2 linked regions of the Canis lupus familiaris genome follow. The main gene of each other region encodes a partner of the protein of the gene in region 2 in a complex. Links are inferred from orthologs where the notes say so. Each region holds a gene or a part of one and is shown on either strand. Other genes may lie near its edges. The genes, in order: SPATA5L1 and CINP.

Region 1 (14,853 bases), on a different chromosome or scaffold from region 2:
AAGCAGGCTCCCTGTGGGGGAACCCAATGTGGGACCCAAACCCAGGACCCCGGGATCATGCCCTGGGCCAAAGGCAGACGCTCAACCACTGAGCCACCCAAGCGTCCCTATGTACATCTTTCAAACAGATACATAAGTGGGACTCTATTGTATAAATTAACCTGCACTTTTTTCCATTTACATTAGAAATCTTTTCACATGGATTAATATAGTTCAACCTCACTTTTTTTGGACAACTGCAAAAGACATCAGTGTATAAGTGTACCATAATTTAACTGCATCCTTCTGTTGAACATTCGTTTATTTCTAGTCTGTTATTAAAAACAAAGCTACAGGGGATCCCTTGGTGGCGCAGTGGTTTGGCGCCTGCCTTTGGCCCAGGGCGCGATCCTGGAGACCCGGGATCGAATCCCACATCGGGCTCCCGGTGCATGGAGCCTGCTTCTCCCTCTGCCTATGTCTCTGACTCTCTCTCTCTCTCTCTCTGTGACTATCATAAATAAATAAAAAATTAAAAAAATAAAATAAAAAACAAAGCTACAGCTGAAAATGTTTGTGCACACGATCAAGTATTTTATATAATTTCCTCCGAGTAGAATTCTGGGTTTAAGAGGATGTTCATTTACAATTGTGACAGAGGTACTATCACACTGCCCTCAAAGCTGCACTGATAATATAAGGCTGTTCTCCCCATATCTCTCCAAAACTGGATATTACCAACCTTTTAAGTTTCTGCCAATGTGACAGAGGAAATAGTACTCACTATTGTGTTGATTTCTTTAGTTAAGAGTGAGGTAGAAGGAACATGGAATTAGAAAATCAGCTTTTGGGCAGCCCCGGTGGCTCAGCGGTTTAGCGCTGCCTTCAGCCCAGGGCCTGATCCTGGGGACCTGGGATCAAGTCCCACATCAGGCTCCCTGCATGGGGCCTGCTTTTCCCTCTGCCTGTGTCTCTGCCTCTCTCTATCTCACTGCGTCTCTCATGAATAAATAAATAAAATCTTTTTTTTTTAAATCAGCTTTTTTTAATAGTCACATATAGTACAGGCTGTTTAGGGCAAGAATCATCCATGGATGCAAAACAAGGGGAGTGGAAGTGTGACAAGGAACATGATCTCAAAGGGTCTCCACAGATTTCTATTAGTTACAAAGGGGAAAATAGCAGCTATACAGTGGAGAAACTGGACAAAAAACCCTGACTGGTTGATCATACCAACCACTGATTAAGGATGTCACCAATGAGGAGCAGGCAGCCATTTTGTACCTTCATCTGTGACACCCTAAGGACACACTATCACTTACGGAGTATTCCAAAAGTGCATGTGTAACCTGAATCTGACTATGAAAAAATATTAAGACAAACCCAAATTGAGAGACATTCTATAAAATCATAGACCTGCATCCTTAAAAACTGTCACTGTAAAATGTCTCACTGAAAAAAAAAAGCAGGGGCACCTGGGTGGTACAGTCAGTTAAGCTAGGGACTCTTGGTTTCAGCTCAGGTCATGAGATCAAACCCTGTGTGGGGCTCTATGCTGGGTGTGGAGTCTCTTTCTCTCCCTCCGCACAACCGCCACCCCCAACAACCCCCCCCCCCCGCAACATTTTATCTCCCTCTTGAAAAAAAAAAAAAAAAGCTACGGGAGTATTACAGATTAAAAGAAACTAAAAACTAAATGCAGTATGTTATCTTGAACTAGATCCTGTACTAAAGGGGTAAAAAATGCTAAAAGGATCAAGACAACCACCAAAAATCACAGTATGGGCTGTAGATCTGAGGTTCTGTATCCGTATTAAATTTCCTAAATATGATTACACATAACCATACTGTGGTCACATGTGGGGACATACATTTTCTTAGGAAATGGATAATGAATGGGTTATGATGTATGCAACTCGTCCTCAAATGATTCAGAAAAAGTAGGTAATATATGTGCACATGTACATTTAGAGGCAGAGGAGTGAAAAGGAGAATTATAAAGCTAATTTGGCAAAATGTTAAAAATTGATGAATTTGGATGGAGGGTTTATTGGGAGTGCTCTATTTTGCAACTTTCCCTAAACTTTTTAATTATTTCAAAATAAAGAGTTAAAACCTGAAAAAGGCTAATTTTTTAAAAAAGATTTATTTATTGCCTGCTTAAGCAACAGATACTAAGATTTATTTATTTATTTATTTATTTATTTATTTATTCATTCATTCATTCATTCATTCATTCATTTATCTATTTGAGAGACAGTGTGCAGAAGGGCAGAGGGAGAGGCAAAGAGCATCTCAAGGAGACTCTGTACTGAGCATGCCCCTCTCTGGGCTCTATCTCATGACCCTGAGATCAGGACCTGAGCTGACACCAAGAGTTGGTGCACTACCCAGGCGCTCCTGAAAGACTAATTTTTAAAGAAAGTAAAGTTGAGCATTTTTCATGTTTACTGGCTATTTGTAATCCTTTGCTGTCTACTACCTGTTCATATTTTATTACCCATTTTCTCTTGGATTGTTGGTCTTTTCACGTTGATTTGTGAGAGTTCTTCCTGTATCAAGGTAATTGGTCTTTCTGTCATAGCCCAGAGAGGGGCACGTGCAGTGCAGTCTCCTTGAGATTCTCTCTCCCTCCCGCACACCCTGTGTCTCAAATAAATTCTTCCCAGTCTGTCTTGTCTTTATTTATGTATTGTTCTGCCATCCCCAAATGGTCAAATTAATAAATATTTTCCTTTTTGGCCATTAGGTTTTATGTTATGTTTGGAAATGCCGTGTTCAGGGTGCCTGAGTGGGTGTGGTTGGTGGAGCATGGGTTCTTGGTTTCAGCTCGGGTCATGAGATCTAGCCCCACCTTGGGTTCCAAGCTCAGTGTGAAGTCTGCTTAAGATTCTCTCTCCCTCTGTCCCCCATCCACCCTCCCCCCCATGGCATGTTCTCTCTCTCTCTCAAATAAATAACTTTTTAAAGAAAGAAAAAAGAAAGTTCAGCTTTAAGATTATATTTTAGAGAATTTTTCTTGCAATTTCCTTTATCATTTTAGTAAAGCAGATTTGTTAAAAACTGCTTGTATTTGTAATACCTGTATTATATTTGAGATTTGCCCTCATATCAAATTCTGAACATACAGTTGTCAAAAAATTTCCATTTTCAACAACAAACTATTTTATCCCATTTATAGAAGATTATGTAAGAGTATATATATGTATAGAGCTATTCTGAACAATGTTCCTAAAAATTATAATCTCTGGGGGGGTAGATTTCAGGCAATTTTTACTTTCTTTATAATGTATTCATCTGGTTTAATTTCTCACAAAGAACACCATTAAGTAATTTTTTTAAACAGCTTTTTCTTTTTTTTCTAACTGGCTAGGAGTATTAAATGTTGGGTACCTGAATACTAATTAATTTTTAAGCAACATCAACAAAGATCACTTATATGTACATTATTTCACCTAATTGTCATAACCCTTTCAGACAGACAAAATTCTTTCCCCTCTGTGTATATACGTGTATGTATTAAACTATATTCTAAATCCTTTAGTGGGAGTACTTCACAAAAAGCTGACTTTTTTTAGCCTTTTCACAAACTTTAACATATCCTCTGTCTGCCCTGATAGCAGCAGCAGCTCCTCAGCTGCCTGAGGGGTAAAGATGGAAAAGATGAAGCCAGTACCTTCCTAGATGCCTGTCCCTTCTTCCTTTTTGCCTTTCTTCCTTCCACTTCCCCTGGTTGTTTATGAACTCAGTCATCACCTGTGGTAACTATGCCTGGGCAGGCCGCTCCTGAAGTAGCAGCTGGCTGGTCCACCTAAGCCAGGGTGCTTAAGGTCAAACCTGGAACTTCAAAAGCAGAGGGAATCCTAAGTGTAAATCTCCCTTCAGCCCCTGGTACTCTCATCCTCCCTTCAGAAGGCATATATTCACACCTCCACGCATGAGAAGTATCATTAAATGTTCAAGCAGTTTTGTTTTTTGTTTTTTTTTTATATTTTTTTATTTATTTACTCATGAGAGACACAGAGAGAGAAAGAGAGGCAGAGACACAGGCAGAGGGAGAAGCTGGCTCCATGCTGGGAGCCTGATGTGGGACTTGATCCCGGGGCTCCAGGATCATGCCCTGGGCTGAAGGCAGGTGCTAAACTGCTGAGCCACCCAGGGATCCGACAGCAGTTTTGGTTCTAAATCCAGAAGAGAATTTACAAGTTCACATAACTCCTTCCCCACCTTCAGCGTACATGTAAAAATAAATGAAAATGAGGGATCCCTGGGTGGCGCAGCGGTTTGGCGCCTGCCTTTGGCCCAGGGCGCGATCCTGGAGATCCGGGATCGAATCCCACGTCGGGCTCCCGGTGCATGGAGCCTGCTTCTCCCTCTGCCTGTGTCTCTGCCTCTCTCTCTCACTGTGTGCCTATCATGAATAAATAAAAGTTAAAAATAAATAAATAAATAAATAAATAAATGAAAATGAGCAAGGGTGTAAATTACATAGGTAAAAAGTTTTCAAAATTTTGGATTAATTGTCCTCTTATAATTGAAATTAATTCAAAACTGGTTTTTAAAAATTATAAGATCAAAGGGCAATTTTAATGTTATAATAGTTACAACAGAGATTGTAAACTTCGTCCCAGAATCCTCTGGGGGCTAAAATTAATTTTTTTCTGAAGGTGTTTAGGGATTAAGGATTACTTATTATATACATGGTGAAGAGATTTTTCCAATCCATGGTGCTGAAAATTACTATATTTAAGCTAACATCCTAAATATTTTTAAGAAAGGTAGTCATGGGGACGCCTGGGTGGCTCAGCAGTTGAGCGTCTGCCTTCAGCTCAGGGCGTGATCCCGGAGTCCCAGATTCAGGTCCCATATCAGGTACCTCCCAGGGAGCCTGCTTCTCCCTCTTCCTATGTCTCTGCCTCTCTCTCTCTCTCTCATGAATACATAAAATCTTAAAAAAAATAGTCATGAATTAAAGATTTCAATACCAAAGATAAATTTAAATAAAAATTCCAGGAGTCCAATCTTCTCCTGGGTTAGAAAAGGTTACTTTCCCTACAAAATATTTATTTATTAATAAGGAAAAAAACGGATGCAATGAGAACAGTATTTCTGTGCTCCTCCTGCCAAAAATGCAAAAGCTGAATCAAATCATGAGGAAACACCAGTCAAACCCAAACTAAGGGATAGTCTACAGAATAAATGACATGTAGTCTTAAAAAGTTAGCCACACGCCTGGGTGGCTCAGTCACTTAAGTGTCCAACTCTCGGTTTTGGCTAAGGTCATGATCCTAAGGGTCAGAGGACTGAGACCCACTTGGGTTCTGTGCTCAGTGCAGAGTCTGTCTGTCCCTTTCCCTCTGCTCCTCCCCCTACTCATGTTGTCACTCTTTCTCTCAAATAAATGAATAAAATTTTTTTTAAAAAATTAAAAATTAGGGATGCCTGGGTGGCTCAGCGGTTGAGTGTCTGCTTTTGGCTCAGGGAGTCCCGGGATCAAATCCCACATCAGGCTCCCTGCACGGAGCCCGTTTCTCCCTCTGCCTATGTCTCTGCCTCTCTCTCTCTCTCTCTCTGTGTCATGAATAAATGAATAAAATCTTAAAAAAAAAAAAATTAAAAAGTTAGGCATAAAAGAAAGACTAAGGAATAGTTCTAGATTAAAATATACTAAGAAATCATAACTAAATGCAATACGTAATCTAGGATTACTATTATTCTTTTTTCCTTTTTAAATTTCTGCTATAAAGGAAATTAATGGGACAGATAATGAAATTTAGATAAGGTCTATAGATACTGGGTAAAAGTATCGTGTCAGGATTAATTTCCTCATCTTGATAATTGTATGGTCATTAAAGTCTTTGATTTTAGAAAATATACACTTAAGATTTGAAGGATAAAAGCCCATTATGACTACAGTATACTCTCAAATGTTTCACAAAATATATACATAGAAGAAGAGAGATATATCTATATGCTAATATATATAAAAACACAGATGAAGACAGAAAGATAAAGCAAAACTGGTAAAATGTTACATTTGGAAACTCGGGGTAAAGTATACTATTTCTGCAATTTTAAGCCTGAAACTGCTTCAAAATAAACAAAATTAAAAATTAAAAAAAATATATGTTTGATTCTTCTGGGGCCATCCTTTTCCCTGGCTGTTCTGGGCTTCAGCACTAGGGAGTTACTATGGGAATGGGGGAACATGCCCTGGTAGACCTAGAAGACTCAGCCCTCTGTCCCCCCATATGCCAGTCCCAGAGAGAGGAGATGTAAAAAAATATGTAAGAAATAGCTGTGGAAGGTATCAAAAGTAGCAAGAAAATGTACTTACCACTTGTTTAATCCCCAAATTAGTTTGTTATATTAATGAAGAGATCAACATACATGGTCATATATCAATACTTCCTACCTTCTCACTGTGAAGGAGAGCATGCAGGGCAGCCTCTCTACAAAGTGCAGTCAAGTCTGCACCGACATAGCCAACTGTCATTTCGGCAAGGAGACTCAAATCCACTTGACTGGAGATGGGCATCTTTGAGGTAATCACTTGGAGTATTGCCTTTCTTTGTTTAAGCGTGGGAGTCCCAATGACAACCTATATGCAAAGTAAAAAAAGAAAAATTAAAAGTTTCCAGTTTAAAATATTATGTAATATTTTTATTCTCTCAAATGTGAAAACTTAGTGAACAAATTTGGAATTGGAACGATGTACTCTTAAGCATACCATAAATTCTGAATATATTAAACTCCAGAGGAGTAACACTGGCCAGATAGTTATACAACGAAAATTACGTACAGAGCTTCCTCAACTTAAGATAGGGTTACAACCCAACAAATCCACGGTTAAGCTGGAATTACAGTAAGTGGATAAAGCATTTAACATACCTAACCTACTGAGTATCACAGCTCAGTTTACTTAAATGTATTCTGAGCATTTACATTAGCCTATGGTTGGGCAAAATCAACTAGCAGAAAGCCTATTTTATAATAAAGTTTTAAGTATCTCAAAAAATTTATTGAATACTGTACTAAAGTGTAAAACAGAATGTATGAGTATAAAATAGTTGTCAATGTGTTGGTTGTTTACCCTCATGATCTCCTGGCTGCCCAGCATCACAAGAGAGCATCTTACTGCATACGGCTAGCCTGGCAAAAGACCAGAATTAAAAATTCTAAATACGTTTTCTACCGAATGTGTATGGTTTTCACACCACTGTAAAGTTGAAAAACCATTAAGACGAACCATTGTCAACTGGGGGCCCTCCATATAATCATTAACAATATTTTGTTATTTTTTAGAACCTATCAAGTTCTGGGAGCCAGGGATGCAATAGTAAACCAGTCTAGGTCCCTGGCCTTATGGAGTTGATTCAGGAGACAAGTACTAGATGGTGCAAAAAAGAAATGTGCTCAAGTTCTGCAGAGATTAATCAGAAGTGTGCAACTATCATCCTTTTCTTTAGAAGCCTAACACAAAGTTCAAGCATCACTTAAATTAATCACTATTCAAGCTATTTAATCAAGAATCAAGGGCGTCTGGGTGGCTCAGGTGGTGAAACTGGGGTCCTTGGATCAAGTCCCTCATTCGGCTCCCTGTGGGGAACCTGCTTTACCCTCTGCCTATGTCTCTGGTTCTCTGTGTCTCATGAATAAATAAAATCTTAAAAAAAAAAAAAATCAACTTGGGACTAAAGCTCAGGAAATAGAGGACAGCTTTGAATACTCAAATCTTCCTGGCAACCCAGGGAGCAACTGTGGGTAATTTCTCACTTGTGGGACAGGATGCTGGCCTCCTGACAAGGAATGAACAAATCCAGAATTAATGCCTGTTTTGATTTAGTTCTTCCCTGCCTTTTCCCTTTTTATTTCAATACACTTCTTGAGGCCATCCTACTTTAATTCTCATTCCAAATCCCTAAGAATGTAATACACGCACAGCTGACCTAGTTCCCTTAAAAATTAACGGTACCGATGGTACTCATTTTCAGGATGTGCACCACAAAACTAATCCTAACGGCCACCTGGCTTCTCGGAACAATTTGATTCTGGGGAAAAACAGGTCCAGGCTCACAGATCCCGTAAGGGCAGAGGACGTGCTCTCTGCATTACAAACGGCCCCACTGTACCCTCACTGACTGCCAAGCCTAAGTGGCAAACGCCGGAGGCCACCACCCAAGGCCAGGAGAGGCCGAGGTTCCATCCAGGGCCTTAGGGCGCACAGCCCGGCCCTAATTACCTCTCGGTCAAATCTCCCCGGTCTGCGCAGCGCTGGGTCTAGAGCGTCCGGCCGGTTGGTGGATGCCACGACCACCACGTCCCGGTCCCCACGGATGCCATCCAGCAGCGTCAGCACCTGGGCCACCGCGCGGCTCTCGGGGGCTCGGTGCGCGCCGCCCCGCCGGGGGCACAGGGCGTCCACCTCGTCCAGGAAGAGAAGCGTGGGTCCGCGGCTGGCCAGCTCCCGCGCGCGCCCGAACACCCGCCTCACGTTCTCCTCGGTCTCCCCGGGCCGCGCGCCCTGCAGCGCGGGGGCGCTCACGGCCAGCAGCTCCGCGCCGGCTTCCCGGGCCACCGCCCGCACCAGCTGGGTCTTGCCCACTCCGGGGGGGCCCGCCAGGAGCACCCCTCGCGGCACCGCGAGCCCCAGGGCCGCCAAGGTGCGGGGGTAGCGGAGCGGGAGGCGGAGGAGCTCCCGGAGCGAGTCGGCCGCCTCTGAGAGGCCCCCCAGGGGCGCCTCGGGCTGCGGCTCCGCTCCCGACGGGGGCACCTCGCTGAGGCTGATGCGGGTGCGAGGCGTGACCAGGCCGGCCGGATCCGGGCTGGGCGCCCCGCGGACGATGTGCAGCGCGGCCACCGGGCCGGGGGCCCCCGGTGGAGCGGCCACCACGTGGCCCCGGGAGACCGGTCGGTTCCGCAGAAGCTCCTGCGCCGCCTCCAGCACGGCGGCCGCATCCCGGGCACCTGGTGCGTCCGCGCCCTCCCGCAACACCGGCCACACGGTGAGGAGCCGCAGCGACGGGCAGGGCACCAGGCGGAGGCTGCTTAGGCTGAGGCTCCCCCGAAACCCTGAGGCCCCCACAGCCGTCCCGGGGCTCGCACACTGCGGATCCAGTTGCACAAAGCCGTCGGCTCGGTCCCGCCGCAGCCAGGCGGTGCAGAGACAGGAGCCGCCGTCGGGCAGAGAGATCTTCACCGCCGAGCCCAGGTGCGCGCCCAAGGCGCGGAGGGCGGCCGGGCCCAGGCGGCAGCGCTGGGTGCCGCGGTCCCTAGCGTCTAAGGGTAGCGCCTTCAAGAGCGGCTCTTCGGGAGGGGGACCTGAGTCCGGAGCCATTGCACACACACACTCAAGCCGAGGAAAGTTGGGGGAAGGAGTTCCCCACGGACCGGAAGGGCCGGCACACCAGCTCCTCGGCCGGAAGCAGGTGACGCGCATGCGCCGGAGACAGCCCTCCGTCGCTAGCGGGGGAGCGGAGGCCGAAAGGGCCAATCGGGAAGTTGGGTGATGCTCCGACTGCCGGTGGGGCGGTGTCGGATTCTTCGACTAAACCCAGCGGCCCATTCCAGACCCGTATGGGAAAGGCCTTAGGTACGGGTATCCGGGAGGCCTCCTACGCTAGTTTCAGGAGGTCTTTAACCATGTACCTAGGTGATTTGGAGAGTCCCCCGCAGAGTCGTCTGTCCCTGGCGCTCAGACTCGAGCATCACCGCCAGCGCTTTGGAAGAATCCTCATCTGTCCCTACGGGCACAATATTTTGGAGCGCTCTCATGTTAAAATCTTTTTTTTTTTTTTAAGATTTTATTTATTCATAGAAACAGAGAGAGAGAGGCAGAGACACAGGCAGAGGGAGAAGCAGGCTCCATGCAGGGAGCCCGATGCGGGACTCGATCCCCGGTCCCCAGGATCACGCCCTGGGTTGAAGGCGGCGCTAAACCTCTGGGCCACCCGGGCTGCCCTCATGTTAATATCTAAGGTGACTTGGAGCAGTTGAGAAATACCGCCTTGGTACCTCCGTTGGATCTGGGTTCTTACGTGTTCAGGGAAGGTCCAGGCACGCCCCTCCTCTGGAAAAGCACAGCGTAGCATTTTAAATCCCTGGGAGAGAGAAAGAAGGGAACGCAGCCACCTGACCTAGCTGTGGCACACCAGCACATTCTGCTCCATGCTCTCCTCCTGTGGGGGCCAAGGGCAGGCCGGCCAGACTGGCCCGCAATGGCATACTGATTATTTTGAATTGAAGCTACCTGGGGAACGGCTGGTGCGAGGGCACTGACTCTCCCCTGTCCCCGAAAGCGAGAAAGAAACCTCCATGTGAAAGGTACCCTCTCTGTACTAAGAAGACATCCTCATCACCAGAGATAACGAACTTGAAAGGGGAGAAAGCCGTGGAAACAAACCTTGTGACTTTTTTTTTTTTTACTAACCTACTACCTCAGCCCAAATTCCACTTAGAATTCCTCACTAATTAAAGCTCCCAAACATCTTTTTTTTTTTTTTTATCTTGTCAATTCCTCACAAATGTATTGTCTCTTTGTATAAAAATTTTCTGCCTGGTTTATTTATTTATTTATTTGGTCTCGATTTCATTACTGGGCCTCTGAGCACATAATAATAAAACTTAGGCGTTTCCTCCTTTTAATCGGTCTTGTGTAAATTTAATTCTTACTCCAACTGGAAGAAGGACTTACTCCCTTCTTCCATCTCGAAGGGCAGGGAGAGAATTTTTCCTTCCCTACACTTCTTTAAATGTTCTTTGACAACAGCATGATGGTAACCTCTTCTGTTGGTGTGATAGGTGCTTATTGCCTATTTGCTGCACAGCAGTACTGAGGTCTGTATTAGAGGGGATGCCTGTCTACATTATTAAGACCACTGCCTGCTATTCTCTTTCCACCTTCGTTCTCCCTTCCCCACAGGGGATTACTCCTTTTTTCTTTTTAACTTAAAAAATTGTAAACTTATTTTAATTCCAGTATACTTAATATACAGTGTTATATTATTTTCAGGTATACAACATAGTAATTCAACAATTCCATATATTAGTGCTCATTGAGATGAGTGTACTCTTACTCCCCTTCACCTATTTCATCCATCCCACCCCACCCTCACCACCCCTTCTCTGCTAACTATCAGTTTGTGCTCTATATTTAAGAGTATTTGGGGTTGCCTTTTTTTTCTTCGTTAATTTGTTTCTTAAATTCCACATTTGAATGAAATCATATGGCATTTGTCTCTGACTGGTTTCTGTTGCTTAGCATTATACTCTCTAGCTCCATCCCTGTTGTTGCAAATGGCAGGATTTTATTCTTTTTTATGGCTGAATAATATTCTACTACATACATATACCACATCTACTTTATCCATTCATCTATTGATGGACACATGGGCTGCTTCCATAATTTGGCTATTATAAATACTATTTACAATAATGCATATATCCTTTTAAATTAGTGTTTTCATATTCTTTGGGTGAACACCGAGTAGTGTGATTACTGGATCATAAGGTGGTTTTATTTTTAGTTTTTTGAGGAACCTCCATACTGCTTTCGACAGTGACTACATCAGTTTGCATTCCCACCAGAAGTGCACAGGGGTTCCTTTTTCCCCACATCCTTGCCAACACTTGTTACTTCTTGTGTGTGTGTGTGTGTGTGTGTGTGTGCGTGTGTTTTATTTTAGACATTCTGACAGGTGTGAGGTGATATCTCATGGTGGTTTTGATTTGCATTTCCCTGATGAGTGATACTGAGCATCTTTTCATGGATTCTATCTGTATATCTTCTTTGTAGAAATGTCTGTTCATGTCTTCTGCCCATTTTTTAATTGGATTATTTGGTTTATTTATTTATTTATTTTTTGGTGTTGTTGTGTCAGTTCTCTGTATATTTTGGATATTAACTCTTTATTGGATATGTCACTTGCAAATATCTTCTCCCTTTCAGTAGGTTGTCTTTTAGGCTTCAGTTTTATTTTTGTTTGTTTTTAAATATTTGAGAGAGAGACAGCATGAGCAGGAGGAGGGGGAGAGGGAGAGGAAGAAGCAGACTCCCCACTGAGCAGGGAGCCCAACGTGGGACTCAATCCCAGGACCCTGGGATCATGACCTAAGCCAAAGGTAGACGTTTAATCAAATGAGCCACTCAGGTACCCGCTGTCTTTTAGTTTTTTTTTTTTTAATTGTTTCCTTTGCTGTGCAGAAGCACTTTTTTTTATGTAGTCCCAACAGTTTATTTTTGTTTTTATTTCCCATGCCTCAAGAGACATATCTAGAAAGATGTTATGGCTAATGTCCGAGAAATTACTACCTGTGCTCTCTTCAAGAACTTTTAAAGTTTCAGGTCTCACATTCAGGTCCTTAATCCATTTTGAATTTATTTTTGTGTATGGTTTTAAGAAAGTGGTCCAGTATTTCCAACACCATTTGTTGAAGAGATTATCTTTTTCCCATTGCATATTCTTGCCTCTATCGAATATTAATTGACCATATAATTGTGAATTTGTTTCTGGGCTTTCTAGTCTGTTCTGTTGACCTAAGTGTCTATTTTTGTGCCAGTACCACACTGTTTTGATGACTACAGCTTTGTAATATAACTTGAAATCTGGAATTGTGGGGGTGCCTGGGTGGCTCAGACGGTTAGGCATCTGTCTTTGGCTCAGGTCATGATCTCTGGTCCTGGGATCGAGCCCCATATTGGGCTTCTTGCTCAGCGAGGAGTCTGCTTCTCTCTCTTCCTCTGCCTCTCTGCCCCCTCCCTACTGCTCCTTCTCTCTCAAATAAATAAATAAAATCTTTAAAAAAAGAAAGAAATCTGGTTTGTGATACCTCTAGCTTTGTTTTTCTTTTTTAAGGCTGCCTTGGGTGTTCAGGGTCTTTTGTGGTTCTATACAGATTTTAGGATTGTTTGTTCTAGTTCTGTGAAAAAAAATGCTGTTGGTATTTTGATAGGAATTGCACTAATCTGTAGATTGCTTTGGGTAGTATAGACATTTTAACAATGTTTGTTCTAGAGGATTACTCTTCCTCTGTATCAGCTGGAATATATTTCCTATCCTTTTAAATTCTGTTCAGGAAAAAGAGCTGCATATCTTCAAAGTCAAGAAAATATGCCTTGTTTTTATCTTACATCTCTCTACCTCTATTTTTTGCACTTCACTGCAACCCAAGTTTATGTTTTACAAAATTCATATTGCACAGTGCTTAAGTCACTGGGGCCTGGTGGTTTCTCTCTGCTTATGCAAATAATCTATTGTGGACTCTATAGCAATGTCTTCTTAATGGAAAGTATTGTGAGACCTGGGATCTTAAGACCAATGCCAGTTCCCCCTACCCTACTCAAATCTCAGGGCAGACACTATGACTGACTTCTAGATTCCACATTTATTTATCTGGTTTCTGTTGTTATGTTTCCAGCTCCAGTGCTGGAACATCTTTTTTTTTTTTTTTTAAGATTTTCTTTATTTATTCATGAGAGTCACAGAGAGACAGGCAGAGACAGAGACAGAGGGAAAAGCAGGCTCCTTGCAGGGAGCCTGATGCGAGACTTGATCCCAAGACCCCGGGATCACGACCTAAGCCAAAGGCAGATGCTCAACCACTGAGCCACCCAGACATCCCCAGTGCTGGAACATCTTAAAAGGAATCAGGAAAAAGCATACTATGGGGAGGTTCTGAACTGAGTAAGTCACCCATTACATACCATTTTCTTCTTTCTCATTATCTTATTGCCTTCTGTTCTTTTTGGAGAACAAAGACTCCAAAATCAAACTTTTCAAGAAAAATTTTGTATTTTCTGAAATAAAAGCCAATATTTTTACTAACCCCTGAAGGGGTGAATAAAATACCCATCAAGTTATTCTATCACAGGGCCTGTACTTCACAGATGTTCTTTTATTCTGGTACCAAGAAGCTTTGAGGAGCAAAGAAAAGGGGAGGGCAGAGGAAAGAAGACTTAACTGTATTAACTATGCGGAGAGCTCTCATATAAAAGAGTTAGTAGATTTATGTATATCTACTAGTTAGTAGATAGTTCTACAGTGCAGAACTATCCAGGAAGTGAAAGGTTAATGGAATAAACATGAGTCTTCCTCCTCATCTTTGGAGTATGGTTACATGGAAGAGGTAGGAGACTTTTTATAAGATAGCTGACAGCCATAACCAAAGCCAACATAAATAAATTAAATCAAGATCTTTCAGCATTTGATGCCAGGAAACTACATGTTGTTTTGGGCTCTCTGACCTTATAAGGCCCATATACCCAGGAAATATTTACTTCACCCTATCTCTAAAAGGTCCAGTTCTCACCGTAGGCTGCAAGTAAAAGCAACCAGGAGTCTTGTTTCTGGGCCTTTGGCCCTTATCCACACTCTCTCAGAACGATAACTAGCTTTTCCAGTCAGCCATTGAAATTCACTGAGTCCCTTTAGGTGGAACCATTTGCAACACTATTATTTCAACTATCTTAATGTCCACATTTATCCTACCAAGGATAAATTACAATAGTCTTTTATGATCAATGATGTAGTTTTCTCCTTGTCGAAAACCATTCTAATAGTAGTTATGTGGTTCTTTTGCTTATTTGTTTTTAATATGACTCCAAATTTGGTGATTCTATGGAGTACCAATTAAAGTGCCAAAAGGTGGAACCACTAGAGGGAGTCCAAAACCAAATATGCCCAAAGGCTACGGGATTGTTGCTATTGAAGTGTTTCATTTGTGGCTTCTGTTAGATTTCCCAAGATTCACACTAGGTGTGTGAAACGGTCTGTTGTGTATGCAGTTACTTATTTTCACATAATTTCTACATGTCTCAGGCCATGTAGAACTCACTTTCCAAGTTATAATTCTTGTATTAAATATCAAAATGACACT
Region 2 (15,022 bases):
GTGTATATCCAAGAGAAATGAAAACATATGTCTACACAAAAATATTATGAAGGGAATACTACTATTACCTTCATAATAGTAAAAATCAAAAACACCAATTGTCCATGAAAACAAAATAGTATATCCATACAATGGAATATTATTCAGCAATAAAAAGGAATGAAGTCTGATACATGCTATAACATGATGAATCTTGAAAGCATGATACTAAGTGAAAGAAGACAGACATATAAAACCACATATTGATTTTATTTATATGAAATGCCCAGAATAAGCAAACCTATACAGACAGAAAGTAAATCAGTGACTACCTAGGGCTAGAAGCTGGGAGTGGGGGGTGGGGTTACTGCTAAATAGTATGGGGTTTCTTTTGAGTGATGACAAAATTCTAAAATCGTAGTGATGCTTACACATCTCTGTGATAATACTAACCATATATATGGTTTTTAGTATACCCATATCTAATATGTATATGAGATGTAAATGATATCTCAAACTATTATAAATAATAAGAAAAGGAAGAGTAAACAGTTGTCCAACCCCATTCATCCCCAAACTTCCATAAACTAGGAATAGAAGGGAATTTCTTCAAGCTGATAAGGAATATTTACAAAAACCATACTTAATGGTGAGAAACTCAAAGCTTCCCCACAAAGATCAGGTACAAGGGAAGGACCTCCCCACGTCACCACTCCTTTGCAACATCATACTGGAAGTTCTAGTTAATGCAGTAAGACAGGAAAAAGAAAAAGTATACAGATTAGGAAGGAAGAAATAAAACTGTCTTTGCAGATGACATGATCATCTATGTAGAAAGTCTGAAAAAATCAACAAAAAACTCCTGACACTAATAAGCAATTATAGCAAGGTTACAATACAAACTTAACATACAAAAGCCAACTACTTTCCCAAAACCAGCTATGAACAAGTGGAATTTGAAATTAAAAACATAATTCCATTTACATTAGCATTCCCCAGATTGAAATACTTACATATAAATCTAACAAAATATGTATAAGGTCAATATGAGGAAAATTACAAAACTCTCATGAACAAAATCAGAGAACTATACATAGAAAGATATCCCATGTTCATAGACAGGCAGATTCAATATTGTCCAGGTGTCAATTCTTCCCAATATGATCTACAGATTCGATGCAATCCCAGTCAAAATCCCAAGTAAATTATTTTGTGGATATCAACAGAACTATTTTAAAGTTTATATCAAGAGGCAAAGAACCAGAAAAGCCAACATATTGAAGGAGAAGAACAAAGTTACTGAAACCAACTGCCAACATAAAAGCTGCAGTAATCAAAACAGTGTGGTATAGGGAAAAACAAATAAATCAACAGAACAAAATAGCCCAGAAATAGACTTGCACAAATATAGTTAACTGATCCTTAACAAAGGAGAAAAGGCAATACAATGGAGCAAAGACAGTCTTTCCAACAAATAGTGCCCAAAAAACTGGACATCCACATGCAAAAAAATTGAATCTAGACACAGACCTTATACCCTTCATAAAAATTAATGCAAAATGGATTACAGATTTAAATGTAAAACACAAAACTATAAAACTCCTACAAGAAAACATAGGAGAGGGGCGCCTGGGTGGCTCAGTCAGTTAAGTGTCTACCCCAAGCTCAGGTCGTGATCCTGTAGTCCTGGGATTGAGCCCTATGTCAGGCAATAAACTAGACTTCATTAAAACAAAAAAGCTCTTGGGGATCCCTGGGTGGCTCAGTGGTTTAGTGCCTGCCATCGGCCCAGGACATGATCCTGGAGACCCAGGATCAAGTCCCGCATCAGGCTCCCTGCATGGAGCCTGCTTCTCGCTCTCCCTGTGTCTCTGCCTCTCTCTCTCTCTTTGTGTCTCTCACGAATAAATAAATAAAATCTTAAAAAAAAAAAAAAAACTAAACTAAAAAGCTCCACAAAAGACAGTCTCAAGGGAACGAGAAGACAATACACAAACTGGGAGAAAATATTTGCAAAAGACACACCAGGGGATCCCTGGGTGGCGGGGATCCCTGGGTGGCGCAGCGGTTTGGCGCCTGCCTTTGGCCCAGGGCGCGATCCTGGAGACCCGGGATCGAATCCCGCGTCGGGCTCCCGGTGCATGGAGCCTGCTTCTCTCTCTGCCTGTGTCTCTGCCTCTCTCTCTCTCTCTCTCTCTCTGTGTATGACTATCATAAATAAAAAATTAAAAAAAAAAAAAAAGACACACCAGACAAAGGACCATTACCCAAAATATACAAAAAACTCTTAAAACTCAACAAGAAACAATCAGAAGATATACAGATGGCAAATAAGCATATGAAAAGGTGTTCTATATCATATGTCATCAGAGAAATGCAAATTAAAATGAGATACACGCCTATTAAAATAGCCAAAATTCCGAACACAGACAACACCGAATGCCTATAAGGATGTGGTGCAATGAGGACTCTCATTCATTGCTGGTAGGAATGTGAAGTGGCACAGCCCCTTTGAAGACAATTTGGTGTTTTGTTTTGTTTTTTTTTACAAAATTAAACATAATCTGGGGCACTTAGCTGGCACAATCTGTAGAGCATGCAATTCTCAATCTTGGGGTTCTAAGTTCGAGTCCCATATTGGGCATAGTATCTACAAAAAAAAAAAAAAGAAAAGAAAAGAAAACCCTAAACTAAACATAATCTTATTGTATCACCCAGCAATTATATTCCTTGGTTTTTATCCAAAGGAGTTAAAAACTTATGTTCATACGCAAACCTTCACCCAGATATTTATAGCAGCTTTATTCATAAATGTCAAAATCTGTAAGCAACCAAGATGTCCTTTAGTAGGTGAATGTATAAATAAACTGCGGTACATCAGATGATGAAATTCTATTCAGCATTAAAAAGACACTGGCTATTAAGCCATGAAAAGAAAGGAGCCTTAAATGCATATTACTAAGTGGAAGAAGCCAATCTGAAAAGGCTACATCCTGTATTATTCCAACTATGTAACATTCTGCATGAGGCAAAACTAGGGAGACAGTAAGGAGATCAATGGCCGTCAGGGGCTGTGGGGGGAGGAGAAGGGATGAATAAGCTGAATAAATGAAAGCACAGATTTTTAAGGCAGTGAAAATACTGATGCTATAATGACAGACGCCTGTCATACATTTGTCCAAGCCCACAGAACATACACCACCGAAAGTAAGCCCTAAAAGTAAATGGTGGAGTCCAGCTGATCATGATGTGTCAGTGTAGAGTCATCAATTGTAACAAAAGTCCTCACACTGATACTGGGGGAGATATGCATGGGGGGGGGGGGGCAGTGGTATATGAGAAATCTTCACACCTTGTCTTCAACTTTGCTGTGGACCTAAAACCGCTCTGAAAAAATAGTCTTTTTTTTTTTTTTTTTTAAGAATTATTTGAAAGAGAAATGGGTGGGTCTCATTGCTACCCATCCTATTCAAAATTCTTCTGGGGTTCCCCAGTGCTCGGAGAAAAACCAAATGCTTTCCTGGCTGCCCCTCAAGTCCCTGTCCCTCCCCACCTGGCCAAGCTCTTTTTAAAAATTTTTTTTTTTTTTTTTTAATTCATGATAGTCATAGAGAGAGGAGACAGAGGCAGAGACACAGGCAGAGGGAGAAGCGGGCTCCATGCCAGGAGCCCGACGTGGGACTCGATCCCAGGACTCCGGAATCGTGCCCTGGGCCAAAGGCAGGCGCTAAACCGCTGAGCCACCCAGGGATCCCCACCTGGCCAAGCTCTTGCTGCACTGACCCACTCTTTCCCTCCTCAGGCCTCTATGCCCTCAACTCCAGTGAACTTTCATCTCACCCACAAACCTGGCTTCACAAGGGCCGGCTTTGCTGAGCAGATGGCTTGCAGGTCTTTGGCCCCTCCTCCCTGTCATGTCATTTTGTGTATGTCCTTCATATTCTTATCACAATCTTTAGTCACTTCATCTGCTAAGCAGTTTAATGACCATCGCTCATGAAAATATACGCAACAGATGCAAACCCTAGTACTTAACAATATCTTTGGCACAGAGTAGATACTCAATAAAGATTTGTTGAATGAATAACAAAATGTTAACTTCAGGTCTTACTGCAAAAGAATATTCTCAATCCAATCTTTAAAATCAATAAGGCGGGCAGCCCAGGTGGCTCAGCGGTTTAGCGCCACCTTCAGCCCAGGGCCTGATCCTGGAGACCAGGAATCGAGTCCCATGTCGGGCTCTCTACATAGAGCCTGCTTCCCCCTCTGCCTGTGTCTCTGCCTCTCTCTCTCTCACTCTCTCTAATGAATAAATAAATAATATCTTTAAAAAAAATTGTCTGGGGGTGCCTGGATGGGGTAATCAGGCATCTGACTCTTGATTTTGGCTTGGCTCCTGATCTCGGAGTGGTGAGATCCAGCCCCATGCTGGGCTCTGCACTCAGCACAGGGTCTACTTGAGACTCTCTCCTCTGCCCCTCCCCCTGTATGCATACTCTCTCTCTCTCAAATAAATAAATCTTTAAAAAAAAAAAAAGATCTGTACTTAGCTTGATGCCAGGCCACTCTTCCTCCCACACACTCTACACTGCAGCTGCAATGAGCTTCTCCCCACAGTCCCTGAACATACCATGGCCTATGCCTTTGCAAAGCCCCCCCCCCCCAACACACCCTGTAAGAAGTACTTCTCCCCTAGGAAACCTTCAGACTCCCTCTGACACTTAGTTTGTCTTTCTCTGCTGTCAGAGAACACTGAGCACCTCATTATCACACAGCAGTCCATCCTTTGTTTTCCAACTTCTCTAATGGACTCTTTGTGGACTTCACCCGGGTCCTTCTAGTCTACATTCCTTGTGGTGCTTCCAAAGACCAACACAGTATGGTCAATACTGTACTCGGCAACTATTTGTTAAACTCTCAAAACACCTTGCCAGGACTCCCCAGGTATGACAGCCCAAATATACATCCACTGTTATGCAAAAATTCACTGGTCTCTTAAGTCCAGGCCCAAATAACACATGCGTTTAAACTGAACACACACTTTGAACAACTGCTCACTTCTACCTCGGGTCCACAGAGCTGTTAACTACTCCCTCCTGATTCTACCAAGCTCCTTGTGCTTCACTGTATCTAGAAATCTCTCCATGCTTGTTTTCATTATGTGTACAACTGATACCTGATTTGTCCTTCATTTTTCCAAGTTCAATCAACTGATGCTGTTTCCTTCTTTTTTTCCCCCAAGGGCCAGGAACCATTTTGTCCAAACTATCCAGAGGCTAATATAAAATCCAAACTTGAAGTGTTACCTTCCTAGGAGAAAACTGGAAAACAAATCAGTAGAAGCCAGTCTTCTACTGAGAAAGAGAATGTGGGGCAGCGCGGGTGGCCCAGCGGTTTAGCGCCACCTGCAGCCCAGGGCGTGATCCTGGAGACCGGGGATCGAGTCCCACGTCGGGCTCTTTGTATGGTGCCTGCTTCTCCCTCTGCCTGTGTCTCTGCCTCTCTCTCTGTCTCAATAAATAAATAAAAATCTTAAAAAAAAAAAAAAAGAGAAAGACAATGTGGCTCCAAAATAACTTAAACCTCTGAAAACCACTTGCTAGTCACTCCTCCAGGAGGGCTATCCGTATCCCATCCTCTCCACCATAGTCTCAAGGCCAGTCCTGAAAACTCAGGGAGAGCATCCCCCCTATTTGTACAGGCTGGTTCTCTGGTTAGAAAGCTCCCTGAGGGCAGTGGGCAGCGACTGGGACCACAGCATCCCTAGAGCCTAGCACATGGCTGACATTCAAGGGACCCCGAATAATCCCTGGTGAATGAACGAACATGGGATGTAAGCTGACATTTCAAACAAAACAAAACAAAAAGCCCTACAAGGTCAGAAACCCTATCAAGGTGCACTTCACTGGGTGTGAGAAAACACAAAAAGCCCTGCAGCTTAGGAGACACTGGCGACTACACAGGATACAGTGGCTTTACTCCCAGATTCTGCTCATGCTGTGTTTGCAAGAAGTGCGCGGGGGTGGGTGGGGGTGGGGTCACCCCCAAGTGCAACGCATCACTCCAGCAGATAAAGCGTGCACCCAGGCTGGGACCCCACAGTCCCGCCAGCAGATGGAACAGAAGGAACAAACGTAACAGACTTAAGATTCCTGAGTGTCAGCGAGAGAGTGAGGAAGGATCCAGAGCAGGGAAGGGAAGTGGAAGTAGAGCATGTGGGCAACCACAGCAAGGGGCGACCCTTTAGTGAAGTGTATCAGGTGCCAGGCTCGGTGCTCAGCACTTCGCACGCACGGACCCACCTGATCCTCCCACCCAGGCGTAGAAGGCGTTATCATCCCCGTTTAACGGATGATAAAGCTGCAGCGCAGCGACGTGGCATCACCTGCGCCGAGCGCACGGCTGGGGGGTCTGAAGCCGGGGCACCCCCTCCTTGAAGCCTCCCAGGCCTTAAGGCAGGACTGGGGGGGGGGGGGCATTCACCCTCCTGAACACCTGGGGGTGCGTGCCCAGGTCTACGCCAGCAGCGCCAGGGCGCGGAGGGTCGGGGGACCGGGCGCAACGTCAGGCAGGCAGGCGCCGCGGGCGGGCCGGCAGGGGGACCGAGGACGCGGGACGGGGGATGAGGGATGACGGCCCAGGGATGAGGGATGAGGGATGAGGGATGAGGGCCCGGGGATGCGGCGGAGGACCGCCCAGCCTGGCGCCTCAGGTGCTGGCGCGCGGGCGAGACGGGCAGGGCGACCCCAGGCGCCGAGGCCAGGGAAGGGCGGCCCCGGGGAGGCCGAGGAAGGGGCGCGGAGGAAGGGGACTCACCTCCCGCGGCGGCCCCTCCGGACTCGTCGGCCGGGCCCGGCCGGAGGAGGCGGGGACGGACTCCGGGCCGCGGGGGCTGCCGGGAGCCCGTTCCCTAGGCAACCGCGCCAGGCCCAGCTGAGCGACAGGCGGGGGCTAGAGCGGCAGAGCCACAAGTGGCGGCCGGCCAGCGGCGCGGAGCGGAAGCACGTCAGCGCGCTTCCGGTAGGCGTGGGCGGGGCTTCGCGCTCCTTCCCGGGATACCTGCGGACGCATGGCAGGTGGGTGCGCGCGCGCGGGGGAGCGTCCTGCGGCTCGGCGGGCGGTCCCGGAGCCCACCGGCTTGACCGGGCCTCTGTGGTCTTCCCGCGTAGAACTACTGGATGTGTGCGAGGGAGTGTCAGCACATCCTGACCCCCCAAATTGTAATTGTCTTTGTAAACTAGCGCTAGCGGGGGTGCTCGGGTGCCAGGGCTTGCATGCCCAGCTCCTCCCAAAACCTTTCCCTGAGTTCCCCTCGGGATTACCCGCCGCACAGAGCCCTTTGCTTCTAATAAGAGCTGTCAATCGGCGAAGTGCTCGCTGCGTGCCGTGTGGTGCCCTTAGTGCTCTGTGGGTCAGCTCGTTTGAGCCTCACCTTGATCCCACGTAGTAACGTGCGCAGGTTGGGAGGATCAGGGAGGGAGCCGCTATGCTGAACCTCTCTGCTCTGTGCTGGGCCTCTCGTTCCTGGTCTCTTTCCCTCCTGGCCTGGGGTCCCTTGGAGTTAGATCTGTGGTTTGGGTTGCTAAATATGGAGCAGACGGAGAATGAATCAGATGTGGTCTTCGCCCTCAAGGAGCGCCTACTGCAGGAGAGAAACCCTTAGGAGATGATAGTGCAGGTGGTAAAAGCTATTTCTCCATTTAACACATTTCATTTGTCACCTACTGTGTGTCTAGGTTAGGAGAGGGAAACAAGACATAGTCACTATTCGGGTGGCCTCACAGTCCACCCAGCAAGTCTACCACACTAGTGAGTGTCGGTGATAGTTCAAGAAGAGGTGCGACATCTAGTGCAATGAGTCCTAACCCAACCTGGGAGATCCAGGAAGATTTCTTTGTGGAAGGAGTGGCTTTCTGAAAACCTAAATCAGATCATATCACTTTCCTACTCAAAGCTTATTGGTTCCTTTCCACTGACTTGGAATAAACCTAAACTCTTTATCTTAGTATGTAAGGTTCCATTTGCTTGACCGCTTCCTCACCCAGATCCCTCCCCACCACCCTTCCATTATAAGTGATGTGGGGTCATGGAGCACAACAGTCAAGAAAGAATTCTTGGGATGTTGCGTGGTGCAACTTAGTAAGTTTATTTAAGTAGCCTGGGGACAGAACCTGTGGGCAGAAAGGGCTGCATTTTTGCGGTATGAAGCTGGTGGTTATATGCTTAGTGGTCAAGGGGGAGGAGACATGCAGAGGGTATTATACATGTTTCCTTGAATTTCTACCCATAAAACTACTTTTGCAACATTTCTCTGGTGCTTATCATTCAGTTCGATATTAACTATCAGTGAGATTTACAGACAGTTATGAGACCCTTTAAGAATGTAGCAACCGGGATCCCTGAGTGGCGCAGGGGTTTGGCGCCTGCCTTTGGCCCAGGGCGCGATCCTGGAGACCCAGGATCGAATCCCACATCGGGCTCCCGGTGCATGGAGCCTGCTTCTCCCTCTGCCTGTGTCTCTGCCTCTCTCTCTCTCTCTCTCTTTGTGTGACTATCATAAATAAATTAATTAATTAATTACAAAAAAAAAAAAGAATGTAGCAACCAGGGGCACCTGGTTGGCTCAGTGGTTGAGCTAAGTCTTTGGCTTAGGTCGAGATCCCAGAGTCCTGGAATCAAGTCCCGCATCAGGCTTCCTACAGGAAGCCTGCTTCTCCCTCTGCCTATGTCTCTGCCTCTCTTTCTATGTCTCTCATGAATAAATAAATAAAATCTTTAAAAAAAGAAAAACCAAAAACTTAAAAAAAAAAAGAATGTAGCAACCAGCACGTTTTATTATTATTATTTTTTTTAACCAGTACATATTTGATCTTTGTTCAGAACTATGTAGACTAAAGGTCAGCCTTCTGGGCTAAAGGTGAACATTTTTCTGCTTCTGCCCTCATCGTAGATACACTGGCCTTGCTCAGTTTTTCAGACTCACCAAGCTCATTCTCACATTAGGACCCATACTGTTGACCTTTCAACAAGCCTAAATAACATCTCTTCAGGGGTTCACTCTAACACAAGACCCCATTTTCTTTTCTATCCGGGCACTTACCAAGATACAAATTGGTCATGGTCATTTGGTTGTCTATTATCCACCTCCTCTTTGGAAAGTAAGTTCCATGAAAATGGTCCTGGTATGATTCATTCAGTCATTTCATCCCCCGTGCCTGGCATATTGTTGGTTAGTGGTATAAGTAAAGAATGAAGGGAAAACCAATATGATCCTTAAATAAGCAGAGCCTTAAAGAATACTAGGAGTTAGCCAAGTGAGTGGAGACACACATGGCCAGGGGAAATATTCTAGGTCAAAGTCAGAACTTGTACAGAGCTAGCCCTAAGGCATGGAGAGCAAGCTGGGGGAAGCTGGAGAAGTGGTAGAAAGGACTTGCATAACAGGCTGTGATATTGTGGTTTATAATAAGAAAATATTTGGTCTTTTTCTTGTTCTTGGCACAGAGGTAAAACCCTTGGTGTTTCTGCAGTGTGAGAATGAGCAGGATGTCTTGTTATGTTGATAAGGTGACTTTTGGGAAGGTGACCTTTGGATGGGGGCTGGTTCCCCCCTACAGAAACCAATCATGTGATTATTAAAGGGTTAGAATTTTCAGCCCCACCTGACTCCCCTGTGCCTCCAGGGGAGAGGGGCTGGAGGTTCAATCAATGGGCACTGCCCAGTGACTTAATCAACCATGCCTATGCAATGAAGCCTCCATAAAAGCTGACAAGGATGGGATTTGGGGAGCTCTAGGTTGATGAACATGTGGAGATTTGAGGAGAATGGTGTACTACTCACAGAGCATGGAGACTCTATGCCCCTTTCCGCATACCTTGTCCCCTGTATCTCTTCCATCTGGCTCGTTCTGATGGAAAGAAAAATAAATGTATACTTACATTTCATGTTTGCTCTCCAACTAAGACCATAAAAATCTTAGTTTGTTAAGACTTATTAAACTAAAGTTTGTTCATTTTAAACAGAGCAAAGAGCAATTTTATTTAAGTAAAAAAAAAAAAAAAAATTATTCAACCACAGCAGAGGAATTGCAATTTGGGATAGGCAAGCTACAGTGAACTATAGGCAAGTTTGAAGAGACAAATGGAAGGCCAGCATTCATTAGGTTTCAGGGGGAAACTGGGAAGGGTTACTGTAAACAAGTGTATTGGAGAAGAACAAGAGTTTGAGGTCTAGTGGTTTCTGCACAGTGGTTTCTCCCTTGGCTGTAGGCGACAGTTAATGCATTATTACTGGGGCAGGGAGGGAGGGCTCTTCCTTTTCTTAGAAGCAGGAAATAAAATTCCTATGTGAAATATGTCCTCCGTTGTTGAGATAATTCTTATCTTTTTATTCCTCCTTGTTGTGCAGGGCCGCAGCAAGTGGTAACATGTGTAAGCACCCCCCTCTCCAGGGCTTTCTGACTCTATTTTACAGGAGATTTCCTTTATTTTCACATTTCTGCCTTTAGATCAAGGTCTTTTCTCAAAAGCATCACTTTATCAAGAGTCAGGTTTTCCGTATATAGTGGCTTTTGTCCCTGGGTGCCAGGAAGGACCTTTCTGGTTGGAAGGAAAGTGCATAATGACTAGAAACTACTGAGGCCACCTGTGAGTAACAAGAAAGAGTACGAGGGAGGACTCAGCATTTCCCATCTAAAATCTCTTTCTTACGAGGTTAAGTGTTGGAGAGCATCTGGAAGCCCTCAGCTAGCATCACACTGTTTGGTACATCTGTTCCTGCAAAGTTTTGACAGGCAATGGGTACAAAGTTTAGAAGTAATCATACAAAGCAGAATTAAAAGTAATATGACAAATCCAGGATGATGGTTCTAAACCAGGAGCTCAAACCTGAAGGTAACCAGCTAAATAGATCAAAAGACCAGAGGTCATTGGGTGAAATTTGTTGTAATCAGAGGTCTCCTTCCCTGATCTTGTGTAACTGGGTTTCTCTTTCTCCAGACATATTTATCCAGGTGCAACAAACAGGTGGTATTTGCCATTGCATAAATGCCTCCTTGTTCAGCAAGTAGATTGTCCAAAGCTTCCTTTAGCCAACAAGTCATGTGATCATTGTCGAGCTGTTCTTGCTTTGGCTGTAGAATCGGCTACCTCTTCTAATGTTAGGGAGAGATTTCTGATCATGTGTTCATTTGCTCTTATTCCAACTACAGAGGAAAAGCCTCCCTACAGAGGCGAAACCAGGAGTCGTACAGCCCCCTGAAGTTCCCAGTTAAGAGAGCCTTGGAGGCCTAATGTGGCAGGTCAGCGGAGGCCTCTGGTTTGTTATTGTTTATTTGTTATAAACAATAAACATTGACTTCCAAGTTGCCAACTGTCTAAGCATTTGTATGCCTATGGAAAATGCTGTCCACTGTAAACAAAAATGAAACCAGGTGGTACCCAGGGGACTCCAGCTAAGGTCTTATTATTGATAGTTGGAATTTCCCGATTGACCTTTTCAATCCAGGGATGAAAGGAATTGGGATGACATTCTATGAGAGGCCATCCCTTCATTAAGAAATCTTTTCTAGGGGATCCCTGGGTGGCACAGCGGTTTAGCGCCTGCCTTTGGCCCAGGGCGCGATCCTGGAGACCCGGGATCGAGTCCCACATCGGGCTCCCGGTGCATGGAGCCTGCTTCTCCCTCTGCCTATGTCTCTGCCTCTCTCTCTCTCTCTCACTGTGTGCCTATCATAAATAAATAAAATTAAAAAAAAAAGAAATCTTTTCTAAAAATTTGCAAAGGGGCATAAACTTGTTTATATTTCCTTTAGGTGTAGGAGACCTCACTTAGATAAGGAAAAGAATGTGGGATTGTACAATTAACAAAGATGGAGGGATTTAACTGAGCTAGTGTGGTTACGACTGGGGAAAGGCTGAAGCAAATATGGGAATGCCTGGTATAATAGCCTAACTTGATAGGTAACATCTATAGGCTTGTGGGTGTAATCAACAGTGGCATTTGGCACTAGAAGGAAATTGGTTATAGGTAAGACCAGTCTCCAATATTGTGAACAGATCAGAGCTTCTGGTGACAGATCCAATAGTCAGGTTTCCTCCTTCTGCAGGCGATTGGGAAATGCGATTGGGGCATTGACTTTCCAAGAAAAAGAGGGTGAGGGGCGTCTGGGTGGCTCACTCAGTTGGGCGTCCAACTCTTGGTTTTGTCTCAGGTCATGATCTCTGGGGTTGTGAGGTAGAGCCACATGTTGGGCTCCATGCGGGGTATAGAGCCTGCTTGAGATCCTCTCTCTCCTTCTCCTCCCCACCCCCACCACTTGTATGCATGCTCTTTCTCTCAAAAAAAAAAAAAAAGAAAAGAAAAGAGAGAAAGAAGAAGAAAGAGGAGGGGATCCCTGGGAGCTCAGCAGTTTAGCACCTGCCTTTGGCCCAGGGCGCAATCCTGGAGTCCTGGGATCGAGTCCCGCGTCGGACTCCCGGCATGGAGCCTGCTTCTCCCTCCTCCTGTGTCTCTGCCTCTCTCTATATATATATCTATCAAAAATAAACAAATCTTTTTAAAAAAAAAGAAGAAGAAGAAGAAAGAGGGGGTGAAGTAAGAGTGAGAAGAGCAAAGGAAAGAATGTATATGTAGGTCTGGTCTGGTAATCCCAGGAAAGCTATCTGCTTCAGTGGCCTGCTTCAATTCCTGCAAATTTGTATTTTCGTGTCACCAGTTGGTGTGCAGGTCCAGTCAGGGTTTGGTGCTTTCTTTGGATGTGACAAATGAATCCAAAAGTCTATTCATTTTTCTAGTAGACAAGATCTCCAGGTTGTAGCTGTGATGTTTGAGGTCTTTGTCTCCCAGGAGCGTGCTGTAAAAGGATTGCTCTACTAAAGCATAGTTATTTTCAATAGAAGTAGTAAGGCTTTTACAGTATTGAAGTATGTTTCCTTTTATCACGTGTGGATCAAAAGAAGCAAGAGCCAAGTACATTGGGTGTCCTGTGATTATATCAAAGGGTAAGAGTTGATGAATTCCGAAAGGAGTAGACCTGAGATTTAAAATGACCATTGGCGGTACCTTTGGCCAAAGTAGTTTACAGATTTTTGCCAGCTACCTCTTAATGGTGCCAGTTCAATTGGTCCTGAGGATTGAGAGTGGTAAATATAGTGAGAGTGTTGTAAAACCAGCCACGTAGCACAGACTGGTCGCATCACCTGACCAGTGAAGAGTTCCCTAGTCACTGTGAAGTCCCAGGGTGGTCCTCCAGGTAGGAATGATCTTTTCTCTTAGAATTTTAGCTGCAGAGGCGGCAGTAGCCTGCCCACAAGGGAAAACCTCAGTTCAGTGGGAAAACATACAATCTATGGCTAAAACATATGTATCCATGAGATGGGGGAGCTGTAATAAAATCCACTCACCAAACCTCAAATGGTCCATAGGGCAATTAAAATTCCCGGGTACAGTGTGGACAGGTTTCCCAGGATTGCAGTTTGGGCAGTTGGGGACAAGCAAAGTAGGCACCTTTTATGGCCTTATTAATATTCCCCACCAGTAGTGATTTACAAAGGTCATTTTATGAGCAGAACAATGACGGTGTGCACAGTGGTCAGTAATAGGAATTTTAGAGTCTCTGGCGGGACTGGACTATTATTTGGCCCAGAGTTTTCTCTTTTTATCAAACTAACAATTACCAGATTTCCAATTTTGTTTTTCCTTTTCTGGGGCCATCTCTAGCCAGTTCTTCTAGATTGTCATTTGGGGAAACATCCCTTTGGACCACAACAGAGGTATGGTTGTTGGTTCCTTTGAGAAGAGCATTCTTGGTGGAAATATCACTGAGATGGTTCCCTTTAGCCTCCAGGGAGTCAAGTGTGGAATGCCCAGGAACCTTTATCAGAGCAGGGGGGCCTGGGTGTCTACAACTCTTAATTTTGGTTCACGTCATGATCTCAGCGTCATGAGATCAAGCCCCACGTCAGACTCTGTGCTGGGCATGGAGCCTGCTTAAAATTATCTCTCTCCCTCTTCCCCCCACCCCTTTATGCTCTCTCTCTCTCTAATAAAAATAATAATAGCCAGAGCAGCTGATAGGAGTATAGCACCTAATAAATTTTGGACATAAAATCCATTTGAAAATTTCTCCCTGCTAAAAGTGGGAAGCCGCATTGTTTCCATAATCACAAAATTGTGAGTCACTCTGAAGGCATATCTGCTGTCAGAGTAAATGTAGGCAGTTGTGCCCTTGGTGAGCATGCCGTGTGAGGGTGTACAGCTCAGCTTGTTGGAGAGAAGTAGCCTAAGGCAAAAGTATTGCTCAGTTACTTCAAAGGGAGTTGCAAGTACATATCCAGCACAACATTCGCCATTTCTACCTCTCACCTAAAAACCATCAGGGAACCATGAGAAGTCAGTGTCATGCAAAGGAGCCTCCTGTCAGTCATCATGGAGGGGAGTCACGATCTGCAGAGTTGGCATGAGCAGGGAGGTGACTGCAGCGAGGAGTTCTGGGAGGAGAGGTTAGGAAGAGGCTTTCATAGGAGGGGGACAACTGGCCAGAGGGTGAAGGGTGTTCAGGAGGGCTTCTACTGTCCAGGGCATGGGATGGCTACTGGGGTCCCAGACTGTCTCCTCACTGCCCTTAGCCAAAAGGGTGGTGGTGGGAATGGCTCTGAGGTATGGTGCCTGGTCCCACAGGGCCTGTTGTTGGCTGTAATGCCCTATGGGGTTGATGGTGATCCCCATACCTGGGAGATCCACCATTACCTTGGGTGGGTAATCCCAGGGAGTTCCCTTCCTTTTCATATATAGGTGGGAAAAAGGAAAGTTGATAATTGGGATGGCCAAGGGCAGGGGGATTTATTAAGCTTTCTTTTAGGTATTAAAAGCTAAGTCTTAAAAAAAAAAAAAAAAAAAAAAAAAAAGCTAAGTCTTCTTGACCTTCCCAAGTACTGGGATCAAGAATCTCTTTCCAATAGGGACGCCTGGGTGGCTCAGCAGTTTAGCACTTGCCTTCGGCCCAGGGCGTGATCCTGGAGTCCCGGGATTTTAACTAGAAGG

The links.
Region 1: CINP (region 2) and SPATA5L1 share a complex: the UniProt entries of both Homo sapiens proteins name them as parts of the 55LCC heterohexameric ATPase complex. The link is inferred for Canis lupus familiaris from reciprocal best matches to the Homo sapiens genes CINP and AFG2B.

The regions. Positions count from the first base shown.
Region 1 is NC_049251.1:12,046,748-12,061,600, reverse strand, and holds the start of SPATA5L1 (spermatogenesis-associated protein 5-like protein 1), read right to left. Parts: upstream 9,317-14,853; coding exon 8,222-9,316; intron 6,581-8,221; coding exon 6,395-6,580; intron 1-6,394. UniProt on the Homo sapiens protein: ATP-dependent chaperone part of the 55LCC heterohexameric ATPase complex which is chromatin-associated and promotes replisome proteostasis to maintain replication fork progression and genome stability.
Region 2 is NC_049229.1:70,732,381-70,747,402, reverse strand, and holds the start of CINP (cyclin-dependent kinase 2-interacting protein), read left to right. Parts: upstream 1-6,912; 5' UTR 6,913-7,048; coding exon 7,049-7,055; intron 7,056-15,022. UniProt on the Homo sapiens protein: Component of the DNA replication complex, which interacts with two kinases, CDK2 and CDC7, thereby providing a functional and physical link between CDK2 and CDC7 during firing of the origins of replication.